Anolis sagrei: one gene and its partners. The protein of the gene in region 1 purifies or fractionates together with the protein of each later gene. This does not show direct contact. Links are inferred from orthologs where the notes say so. Each region holds a gene or a part of one and is shown in the gene's direction. Other genes may lie near its edges.

Evidence for each region.
Region 2: the proteins of LRRK2 (region 1) and PRDX3 purify together in Homo sapiens (co-immunoprecipitation; 3 studies listed by BioGRID and IntAct, with this or other methods). This does not show direct contact. The link is inferred for Anolis sagrei from reciprocal best matches to the Homo sapiens genes LRRK2 and PRDX3.
Region 3: the proteins of LRRK2 (region 1) and ACTG1 purify together in Homo sapiens (affinity purification with mass spectrometry; 3 studies listed by BioGRID and IntAct, with this or other methods). This does not show direct contact. The link is inferred for Anolis sagrei from reciprocal best matches to the Homo sapiens genes LRRK2 and ACTG1.

Annotation. Positions count from the first base shown.
Region 1 is NC_090025.1:82,029,469-82,033,216, forward strand, and holds the start of LRRK2 (leucine-rich repeat serine/threonine-protein kinase 2), read left to right. Parts: upstream 1-1,276; 5' UTR 1,277-1,440; coding exon 1,441-1,612; intron 1,613-2,657; coding exon 2,658-2,743; intron 2,744-3,748. UniProt on the Homo sapiens protein: Serine/threonine-protein kinase which phosphorylates a broad range of proteins involved in multiple processes such as neuronal plasticity, innate immunity, autophagy, and vesicle trafficking.
Region 2 is NC_090023.1:202,461,095-202,464,842, forward strand, and holds the start of PRDX3 (thioredoxin-dependent peroxide reductase, mitochondrial), read left to right. Parts: upstream 1-850; 5' UTR 851-906; coding exon 907-951; intron 952-3,748. UniProt on the Homo sapiens protein: Thiol-specific peroxidase that catalyzes the reduction of hydrogen peroxide and organic hydroperoxides to water and alcohols, respectively. Plays a role in cell protection against oxidative stress by detoxifying peroxides.
Region 3 is NC_090022.1:131,820,193-131,823,940, reverse strand, and holds the start of ACTG1 (actin, cytoplasmic 2), read left to right. Parts: upstream 1-1,529; 5' UTR 1,530-1,638; intron 1,639-3,121; exon of another isoform or gene 3,122-3,124; 5' UTR 3,125-3,132; coding exon 3,133-3,255; intron 3,256-3,375; coding exon 3,376-3,615; intron 3,616-3,748. UniProt on the Homo sapiens protein: Actins are highly conserved proteins that are involved in various types of cell motility and are ubiquitously expressed in all eukaryotic cells.

The DNA of each region.
Region 1 (3,748 bases):
TATGAGTCTGCACTGCCAGATAATCCGGGATAAACTTGGGATCAAATCCTGGGATATAGAAGGGTCCTGTGTTGCAAAAGACAGTGTCCACCTCCCTCTACTTTAGGGACTTCTTCATCATATTGTTAAAGGCTTTCATGGCCGGAATCACTGGGTTGTTGTAGGTTTTTCCGGGCTATATGGCCATGTTCTAGAGGCATTTTCTCCTGACGTTTTGCCTGCATGAATGGCAAGCATCCTCAGAGGTAATGAGGTCTGTTGGAACTAGGAAAAAGCAAAACAACAGAAGGGAAACAGTCTGGGACATCTAATCACCTCTCAACAAAAGATTCCCCCCAGGCACTTTCAAGCCATTAAATGCTAATCAAGGTAGTCAGTTGAAACATTCACACTTAGCTCCAGCAGACAAGAGTTCTTTGTCCCACCCTGGTCATTCCACAGATATATAAACCCATTTTCCTAGTTCCAACAGACCTCACTACCTCTGAGGATGCTTGCCATAGATGTAGGCGAAACGTCAGGAGAAAATGCCTCTAGAACATTGCCATATAGCCCGAAAAACCTACAACAACCCAGTGATTCCGGCCATGAAAGCCTTCGACAATACATTATAATCCGGCCCTCCAACAGTTTGAGGGACTGTGACCTGGCCCTCTGCTTAAAAAGTTTGAGGATCCCTGATCTAGATTATCAAAGCAGATAATCCACATTGGACTGGATAATATGGTCTACACTATTTAATCAATTTCAAAGCAGATAATCTGGATTTTATACGGTCGTGTAGAAGGGACCTTTTAGACAGGCCCTATATCCCAGGTTTTCTGTTTTAAACCGGATTATATGAGTCCACACTGCCAGATAATCCGGGATAAACTTGGGATCAAATCCTGGGATATAGAAGGGCCCTGTGTTGCAAAAGACAGTGTCCACCTCCCACTACTTAAGGGACTTCTTCATCTTCCAATCTGTTTTGTTTTTGCCTTTTGCTTTCAAACTCGTGACCATGAAACTGAAACCTTGGGCTGCCCCTTTTCCAAGAGGGAACGGAAAGCCCTGATTTGAGCCACAAATGCGGACTTTCCTTCCCCACCCCTTCCTCCTATACAGACTTCCTTCCCTGGAAGGAGCAAGTGGTGTAATATTCCCATATTGGACGAGAAGGGGGTTACTTTAGTAAGGGAGGAAGTTGCAAAAGAGGGGCTTGTGCGGGATTGGCAAAGGGAGCTGCGCGTCAAAGCCCCCGCGGGGATTTCGTCTCCCTCTAGCGCCACCTCTGGCCGCGGCGCGCATTGCACCCACCAAGCTTGGAAAGGAAAGTCAAGCCAAGCGGGGGGAGAGGCGACTTCCAAACAACCCGCCGCTTCCTCTGCTGACTCAAAAGATTTGTTTACTGGCGGGAGGCGACTCCTGGGCATCTTGGCCCTTAGTGGGAAGGCAGCCATGGCCACTGAGGGGGTGCCAGCCTGCGAGGAAGAGGAGAAGGACGAGGAGAGGCGAGAAGCCGCCTTAAGGAAACTCATCGTCCGCCTGAAGAACGTCCAGGAAGGGAAGCAGATCGAGACCCTGGTGCAGATCCTGCAGGACCTTCTCTCCCTCGCCTCCCTGCCAAGCGGTAAAAAGGGGGCTTCTCTTCCCTCTAGAGCAGTGTTTCTCAACCTGGGGGTCGGGACCCCTGAGGACACAGTATTTTCTGTTGGTCATGAGGGTTCCTTATGGGACTCTGGCCCAAATCTGTTGTTGATGGGGTTTAGAATTTCCTTTGATTGTAGATGAACTATAAATTGTAGCAACTACAACTCCCAAATGTCAAGGTCTATTTTCCCCAAACTCCACCATTTAGGCCTATTGAGTATTCATGCCAAGTTTGGTCCAGATCCATCATTGTTTGGGTCCACAGTGCTCTCTGGGTGTAGGTGAACTACGACTCCCATAATCAAGGTTGATGCACACCAAACCCTTCCAGTATTTTCTGTTGGTCATAGAAGTTCTGTGTGCCAAGATTGGCTCAATTCCATTGTTGGTGGAGTTCAGAATATTCTTTGATTGTAGGTAAACTATAATTCCCAGCAACTACAACTCCCAAATGTCAAGGTCTATTTTCTCCAAATTACACCAGTGTTCACATTTGGGTAAATTGAGTATTTGTGCCAAGTTTGCTCCAGATCCATCATTTTTTAAAAGCCACAGTGCTCTCTGGATATAGGTGAACTACAACTCCTAAACTCAAGGTCAAGGGCCCTCCAAGGCCTTCCAGTATTATCTGTTGATCATGGGAGTTCTGTGTGCTAAGTTTGGTTCAATTCCATCATTGGTGGAGTTCGGAATGCTCTTTGATTGTAGGTGAACTATCAATCCCAGAAACTACAACTCCCAAATGACAAAATCAATTCCTCCAACCCCACCAGTATTCAAATTTGGATGTATCGGGTATGAAAATACATCCTGCATATCAGATATATACATTACAATTCAAAGCAGTAGCAAAATGACAGTTACGAAGTAGCAAAGAAAATAATGTGATGGTTGGGGGTCACCACAACATCAGGAATTGCATTAAGGGGTCACGACATTAGGACGGTTGAGAACCACTGCTCTAGGGAAAGCTGACAAGGGATTCCTCTTTCCTGATCTTTCCCCCCTTCTCTTCTTTCACCCAGGTGGCAGGTTATTCCGTGGCAAAAACATCCACGTGCCTTTGCTCCTGGTTTTGGTCTCCTACATGAAAGTGGCCAGTGTGCAACAGGTAAATATTAGTCTCTCCCTTTGGCTGCTTCTCGCCTGGAACTGCTCTATATCCCAGGATCTGATTCTAGATTATCTGGCAGTGTAGACTCATATAATCCAATTCCAAATTGGATCAGATTCTGGGTCATATGGTAGGGTAGATCCAGCCTCATCCTTCCCTACTTGGATTCTGAAGGATGCTTTCCCTTTGCAGGATCAGAGGGATTTTGGCCTGCATCCATAGGAGTCTAGTGTCTAGATCCAGGGAAGTCATGCTACCTCTCTATTCTGCCTTGGTTAGAACACACCTGGAATATTGAGTCTTAATTCTGGGCACCACAATTGAAGAGAGATAATGACAAGCTAGAATGTGTCCAGAGGAGGGTGACTAAAATGATCAAGGGCCTGCAGAACAAGCCCCATGAGGAGCGGCTTAAAGAGCTGGGCATGTTTAGCCTGAAGAAGAGAAGGAGGAGACATGATAGGCATGTATAAATACGTGAGAGAAAGTCATAGGGAGGAGGGAGCAAGAACAATGGCTTCAAACTACAAGAAAGGAGATTCCATCTGAACATATGGAAGAACTTTCTGACTGTGAGAGCCATTCAGCAGTGGAACTCTCTGCCATGGAGTGTGGTGGAGGCTCCTTCTTTGGAAGCTTTTAAACAGAGGCTGGATGGCCATCTGTCAGGGGTGATTTGAATGCAATATTCCTGCTTCTTGGCAGGGGGTTGGACTGGATGGCCCATGAGGTCTCTTCCAACTCTTTGATTCTATGATTCTAGAGGGATTTTGGCCTGCATTCATAGGAGTCTAGTGTCTAGATCAGGGGGCCTCAAACTATGGCCCAGGGGCCGCATACGGCCCTCCAAGGTCATTTACCCGGCCCTCACTCAGAGTCAACCTAAGTCTGAAACGACTTGAAAGCACACAACAACAACAACTATCCTATTTCATCAGCCAAAAGCAGGCCCACACTTCCTATTGAAATACTAATATGTTTATATTTGTTTTAGTTATTGTA
Region 2 (3,748 bases), on another chromosome or scaffold:
TTGAAGTGACTGGATTGACCTTGAAGGAGCTGGGGGTGGCGACGGCAGACAGGGAGTTCTAGAATGGGCTGGTCCATGAGGTCACGAAGAGTTGGAAACGACTGAACAAATGAGCAACAAGAACAAGCTTATTGGAGGGAAGAATAGAAGAGGTCAAGATGAAGTACTTTGGCTACATCATGAGAAGAAAGAAAAGCTTAGAGAAGACAATGATGCTGGGGAAAATGGAAGGAAAAAGGAAGAGGAGCCGACCAAGGGCAAGATGGATGGATGGCATGCTTGAAGTGACTGGATTGACCTTGAAGGAGCTGGGGGTGGTGACGGCCGCCAGGGAGCTCGGGCGTGGGTTGGTCCATGAGGTCACAAAGAGTTGGAAACGACTGAACGAATGAACAACAACAAGCTCATTGGAGGGAGGAATAGAAGAGGCCAAGATGAAGTACTTTGGCCACATCATGAGAAGAAAGGAAAGCTTAGAGAAGACCAAAATGCTGTGGAAAATGGAAGGAAAAAGGAAGAGGGGCCAAGGGCAAGATGGATGGATGGCATGCTTGAAGTGACCTTGAAGGAGCTGGGGGTGGTGACAGCCGACAGGGAGCTCTGGCATGGGCTGGTCCATGAGGTCACGACTGAACGAATGAACAACAACAATACAGCTGAATAAAACCCCACATTATCTGCTTTGAACGGGGATATAGGGCAGTGTGGACTCAGGTAACCCAGTTCAAAGCAGAGATTGTGGAATTTTCTGCCTTGATATTCTGGGTCTATGGCTGTGTGGAAGGGCCCTTTAAGGGAGATGGTCTCAGGCTGCTCTTAAAGAGACAGTAGCCTCTGGGCTACTAAATGTGGTGGCCCCGCCCCTCCGCTTCCACGTGCCCCTTCCTTCTGCCTCCGGAGCTGAACATGGCTGCTGCGGCTGGAGCGCTGCGAAGGGTGCTGAAGCCTTCGGTAAGCGCGAGATCGTCCCAGGAACCCGTGCCTAGATTTCAGCCCCTTGAAGCCAAAGCAAGGAGGGTGCTGCATTCTCCCGTTGCATTTTTGCTCTGAAGAGCATTGCAATGGCTTGAACTTCCTGCCCTTGGAGCAGCCCGGGCCTTCAGCACGCCTTTGGAGGTTAAGCCCCCCCCCCCCCCCCCGTCTTGCAAAGGTGCCACCCAGCCTTGCATCTACACCAGGCATGGGCAAACTTGGCCCCTCCAGGTGTTAGGGACTTCATCTTCCAGAAATCCCAGGCAGCTTACTAGCTGTTAGGAATCGTGGGAGTTGAAGTCCAAAACACCTGGAGGGCCGAAATTTGCCCACTGTAGAATTAATGCAGTTTGGAACTGCCATAGGTCAATGTAGATCAAGGGAGTTGTACTTTAGCCTAAACGACCTCACCAAACTACAACTCCCAGGTTTCATAGCATTGAGAATCATGGGAGCTGTAGTTTGGTGAGTTTCCAAACACTCGGGTAAAGGTAGACATTTCCCCTTGACATTAAGTCCAGTCGTGTCCGACTGGGTGTTGGTGCTCATCTCCATTTCTAAGCCGAAGAGCTGGCGTTGTCTCTAGACACCTCCAAGGTCATGTGGCCAGCATGACTGCATGGAGCGCTGTTACCTTCCCACTGGAGTGGTACCTATTGATCACATTTGTATGCTTTCGAACTGCTAGGTTGGCAGAAGCTGGGGCTGACAGCGGAAGCTCAACCCGGAATCGAACCTGTGACCTCTCAGTCAACAAGCTCAGCAGCTCAATGCTTTAACCCACTGTGCCACTGACTTCACCAAACTACAACTCCCAAGTTTCATAGCATTGAGAATCATGGGAGTTGTAGTTTGGTGAGTTTCTCAACACTCGGGTAAAGGTAGAGGTTTCCCCTTGATATAAAGTCCAGTCGTGCCCAACTCTGGGTGTTGGTGCTCATCTCAATTTCTAGGCCGAAGAACCGGTGTTGTCCATAGACACCTCCAAGGTCATGTGGCCAGCATGACTGCATGGAGCGCTATTACCGTCCTGCTGGAGTGGTAACTATTGATCACATTTGTATGTTTTCGAACTGCTAGGTTGGCAGAAGCTGGTAAGCCTGGGCAATGTATGGCTCTAAATGGTTCTAAAGTACATACAAAACTAAAGTTCTGGTGGTGAAAATTTCAAAACTCTCAAAATTTCATTATAAATGGCAGTTCTTAATTGGTTCTATCATAAAAATCACCAATAATGAAATAATAATTAAAATTTGAAACTTTTGTTAGAGTTCTGAAATTTTCACCACCAGAACTTTAGTTTTGTAAGTACTTTAGAACCATGCATTGCCCAGGCCTAGAAGCTGGGGCTAACAGCGGAAGCTCACCCCGCTCCCCGGATTTGAACCACCGACCTTTTGATCAGCAAGTTCAGCAGCTCAGTGATTTTACCCGCTGTGCCACTGAGTGGTCCTATGGAATCATGGCATTTAGTAGCCCAGATCAAACTTTTGGCAGAAAAGGCTAAAGACCTTATTAAAAGTACAATTTCCATGATCCCATAACATGGAGCCATGGCATTCCAGCTGCATTCATTCTACAGTGCAGATATCATGCGTTGCACTCAAATCCTTAGAGGACAACACTTCTCTGCTTAGGGTCGTATCTAGGTTTTTACAGCACTATTATTCCACCCTAGCTGCCATGGTGACATAGGGTGTGTCTGACACCACTGATATTACAGAATTAATGCAATTTGGTGCCGTTTTAAACTGCCCTGGCTCAATGCCATGGAATAATGGGAGTTATATGTATATTTTGTGAAGTCTTTGGCCTTCTTTGCCAAAGAGTGCTTGTGCCTCACCAAACTACAACTCCCACGATTTCATAGCATTGAGCCATAGCATGAGATCACACTGCATCAATTCTAGTGCTGAGCTGCATTGATTCTACAATGTAGTAGAGGCACACTAAGTGCCATGGCTCTATGCTAAATAATCATAGGGATTGTAGTTTTGAAAGGTCCTTAGCCTTTTCTGCAAAAGAGCTTGGTCCCCTATTAAACTACAGCTCCCATGATTCCATGGTGGTTAAAAAGGCCACTGTGGAGCCACCCATAGTGTGGGATTCTGGGATTTGTAGTTTAAGTAAGGACATTCAGAATTCTCAGCCAGAGGACTACAAACCCCATAATTCCACAGGGTTTTGCCATGGTAGTTAAAGCAGAATAGTAGTGCTACAACTGTGCAGTATGGTAGGACTCTGAAATTGTAAACCTAAGTGCAGGAAACTGTCAAATTAACAATTTGGGAGCTGATCCGAGGGCCCTTTCAGACAGGCCCTATATCCCAGGATCCGATCCCAGGTTGTCTGTTTATCCCAGATTATCTGGTAGTGTGGACTCGTATAATCTATCTTAAAGCAGAAAAACTGGCATCGGATCCTGGGATATAGGGCCTGTCTGGAAGGGTCCTAAGAGTCTTTCCGGTTGAAGGATGGAGTAAGCCTTTCTATCTGAAGGTGGGGTGGGTATAAATGCTCCAGTTAAACTTGCCCTCTGTAAAATGAGTTTCTTTTGCACCTTCACACTGTATTAAACCCTGAAGGAGAGGTAGTTGATGTTTTTCTGCTGGACTTTGGTTTCAGGTTCCCCCAGTGGATACCAAAAATCTGTGGGTGCTCAAGTCCCATAGTAAGTACAGTAGAGTCTTGCTTATCCAACATAAATGGGCCAGCAGAACGTTGGATCAGCGAAAATGTTGGATAGTAAGAAGGGATTAAGGAAAAACCTATTGAA
Region 3 (3,748 bases), on another chromosome or scaffold:
AGACTCAAGGCTGCAAATTACAGGTACTTCAGGAGAGAGACACCAAGTCTGCCTTATGATGTAGAAAGGCTAGTGCATTGATTCAACATTTCCTAGCAGGGCAGGGCTGTGGCACCCTGACTACAACCGCCATAATCCCTTGCTTCCTCCCATACTGTGTAGGGATTATGGGCACTGAGGTGCAAACCGGAGCCATATGTAAATATTTGCCCTATGTAACAACAAAGTATATCCACACTGTAGAATTAATGTGGTTTGATACCACTCCAAGGCTATGGATTCCTGGGTTCTGTAGTTTTCCAAGGTCTTTCACCTTCTCTGACAAAGAGCACCGGCGCCTCACCAAACGATGACTCCCATTATCCCATAGGATTGAGCCATGGCAGTTGTTGTAGGTTTTTTGGGCTACATGGCCATGTTCCAGAAACATTATCGCCTGCATGTATGGCGGGCATCCCCAGAGATTGTGAGGTCTCCCCCTCAACCACTCAACTTGTAGCCAGGCTTCATGCGTCTTGGCTACAAAATGGTGGCCATAGGGCACAGGCAAGCGACCTCCACCATAGGTGTTCCAGAAGCATTCTCTACTGACGTTTCGCCTGCATGTATGGTGGGAATTCTCAGAGATTGTGAGGTCTCCCGTTCAACTGCTCAACTTGTAGGCAGGCCTCATGCACCTTGGCTACAAAATGGTGGCCGTAGGGCAAAGGCAAGCAACCTCCACAATAGGAGACCTGAGAGTAGCCCTCAGAGGAGTCCACATAAACACACAGCCCAAGCATGTAGCCAGGGGAGGGGGGCGCTTGGGGAGCTTCAGCCCCCCCCCCCCCCCCGAAATTCTCATGGTGGTTCGCGAAAAGGCCTTACTGGTGCATTACTTAAACTGTTCTGTTTATTCATATCATGATCTGATCACCATGCTCAATATATCCCATATGCATGGGGGTATTGGGGTAAGGATACAAAAAGTTTGCTAGGGTAGACCAGACCCTCTTTCACTCAGACTCAGCCCCCCCCCCCCATCAAACTCAGCCCCCCCCCCAAATCAAAATTCTGGCTATGGGCCTGACACAGCCCTAGTCCCCATGTGAGAGTGTAGACATGTTCTCGACTGTATTTTGGGAGTGGGGGAGAGGCCTTCAAAATACTTTAAACAGTTCTTCCTCTGAGCATCAGGCAGGGCACTGTGGACACGCATACAGATACGGAGTGGCCTGTTCTGCTCCCCAGTCGCACAAGGTGGAGGATTCTTCTGGGTGGAAAGTCTTCTAGAGAAGCCACCCTAAGGGCGAGGACTGAGAGAGGGGCTCTGAGCCTGGCCTTGCCCACCCCCTCCTCCAGCTCGCCCTCGTTGCGCGCATCCAGGTTCCGGGGCTTCGGAGGAGGGGGGCGTGGCCGAGCCGCTTTCGCCTGCCCCACGTGGCCCGGCCCGGCCCAGCCAATGGGAGCGCATGTTTCTGAAAGATCTCCATATATGGCGATGTTCTCGGCCGGCCAGGCGGGGGCCGCCGCCCCCCTGGGTATAAAAGGGGCGGGGCTGGCGTTCGCTCGGTCTCACTCAGCCGGCGGCAGCGGATCTAGCACGATCGGCTCCTCTCTCTTGTCTCCTGACCTTTTGAAGCTTCCGCCTCCTTGCAGGTAGGTCACGTCCCCCTCCTCACGCCCCCCCCCCCACACCTTGCCTTTTTCTATTAATATTTTATATGCAGCTGTTACTGGTTTTGTCCAAAACGGATGCGAAAAGTATATACTTTATTTAAAAAATTCTAGATTGGACATGAGTGTGCCTGTAAAGATAGGAAGCGGTTTATGATTTAAAGAGCGTGGGCGTTAAGCCCCTTTCCCGCCGCCTCCTCGTCTCGAGCCGCTAACGGCTTCCGAGGGGCGCCTTGAAAAAGGGAAGGCGGTTTCCTCGCGGCCGGCTTGGCTCGCGCGAACCCCCCCTCCTCGCGAGCCCGCAACGGTTCTCGTGATTGGGCAGGGCCGAGGGCAGCTGGCGCCGGATTGGCCGGGCGAGGGCGCTGACGTCACTGGGCGGGAAAGGAGACCATTGTAAAATCTATTCGAAAAGGGAGGCAGTTCAGGGAGGGAGAGAGGGGGGGCAATGACACTACGGAGTGCATGCAGGTCGGCCCCCATTTTCACTGTAATGGTTCGATGCTGTGGGATCACGGGAGTATGGTTTTTAGTGGCGTTGTCGAGATGCGCGAATTCTGCAGTGTAGTCCACACATTGGCAAGCTTTGGCCCTCCAAGTGTTTCAGACTTCAACTCCTACCATTCCTAACAGCCTCAGGCCCTTTCCTTTCTTTCCTTTTCGCTTAAGCGGCTTAAGGGGGAAAGAAAAGGGCCTGAGGGTGTTAGGAATGGTGGGAGTTGAAGTCTGAAACACCAGGAGGGCCAAAGTTTGCCCATGCCTGGTCTAGACGTCTTGGTTTCAATCCAATCGGAGGGGGGTTGCAGCAAAGGGTGGGGGACGTTTTTAAGAGCCGAGTATTGGTTTTTTGCCCCCATCCTACCCTTTTCCTTCATTTAAATGTTTTCTAGGGGGCTGCTTGCTTAAAGTTCACTGGGCGGGGCTTGGTGGCATTTTGTCTAAAACTGGTCTTTTGTGTCCTGAGTGGATTCAAAGAAATTTCACTCTTGGATATGTGATGGTGTGTCATTCGTTTTTTTCTCCTTTGAGTTCTGGAGATTGGCATGTGTTGTGAGAAATGTGTCTCTTTTTCCTTTTGGTTTTGGCAGGGTGGGCCTTTTGCAGCTAAATTTTCAATAGCTAGGGCCAATAGCATAGCACATCGACAGCCATTTAGGCTTGATTTGTGGGGCTCTTAACTAAGACTAAAAGTTGAGCTACTAATTTTCAAGGTGTATATTGAAGGCAGAGAGAGAGGAGAATGTCTGCTGCCTGCTGATGGTCTGTGGAGGGAGGAAATGAATGAGTCTAGAAAAGCAGCCCAAGAGGGTGGGGTCCTCAGAATGGCTGGCAGGCTGCCAGAGCAGCCCCTAGTGGCCAGATGCTGCAGTGCCTGAGGAGCGAGCGGGGGAGGGAGTAGGGCACTATACCAGAATGTGAGGTGTGTTAAATGTTCCTTAATGATTTTTTCCCTCATTTTTAAAAGCAGATATAAAAATGGAAGAAGAAATTGCAGCACTTGTCATTGACAATGGATCTGGTATGTGCAAAGCAGGCTTCGCTGGAGATGATGCTCCTCGTGCTGTGTTCCCCTCAATTGTTGGGCGCCCTCGCCACCAGGTAAATAGCCGAGCAAGCAAGCTAGCTGATGAAGGGTTTTGTCTGTGTGGTTGAAGTTATAGGCTGTTTAACGCCTAAAAGCACAAGCTGAGCTTTTTTCTTTGCCTCCTCTTTCTATAGGGTGTCATGGTTGGTATGGGCCAGAAAGATAGCTATGTAGGAGATGAGGCTCAAAGTAAGAGAGGTATCCTGACCCTGAAGTACCCTATTGAACATGGCATTGTCACCAACTGGGATGACATGGAGAAAATCTGGCATCATACTTTCTACAACGAGCTCCGTGTTGCTCCAGAGGAACACCCTGTGCTGCTTACAGAAGCTCCATTGAATCCCAAAGCCAACAGAGAGAAGATGACACAGGTATGGTGTTGGCACTGCTGATTTTCTGTATGTTCACCCATTTCACCCACCCATTTTTCTTTCCAGTTACAGTGTCTCTTCTCTTACTTTTAGGGCTCTGTGCTGTCCTGGCATTTCCTTCTTGAAGTCTCAG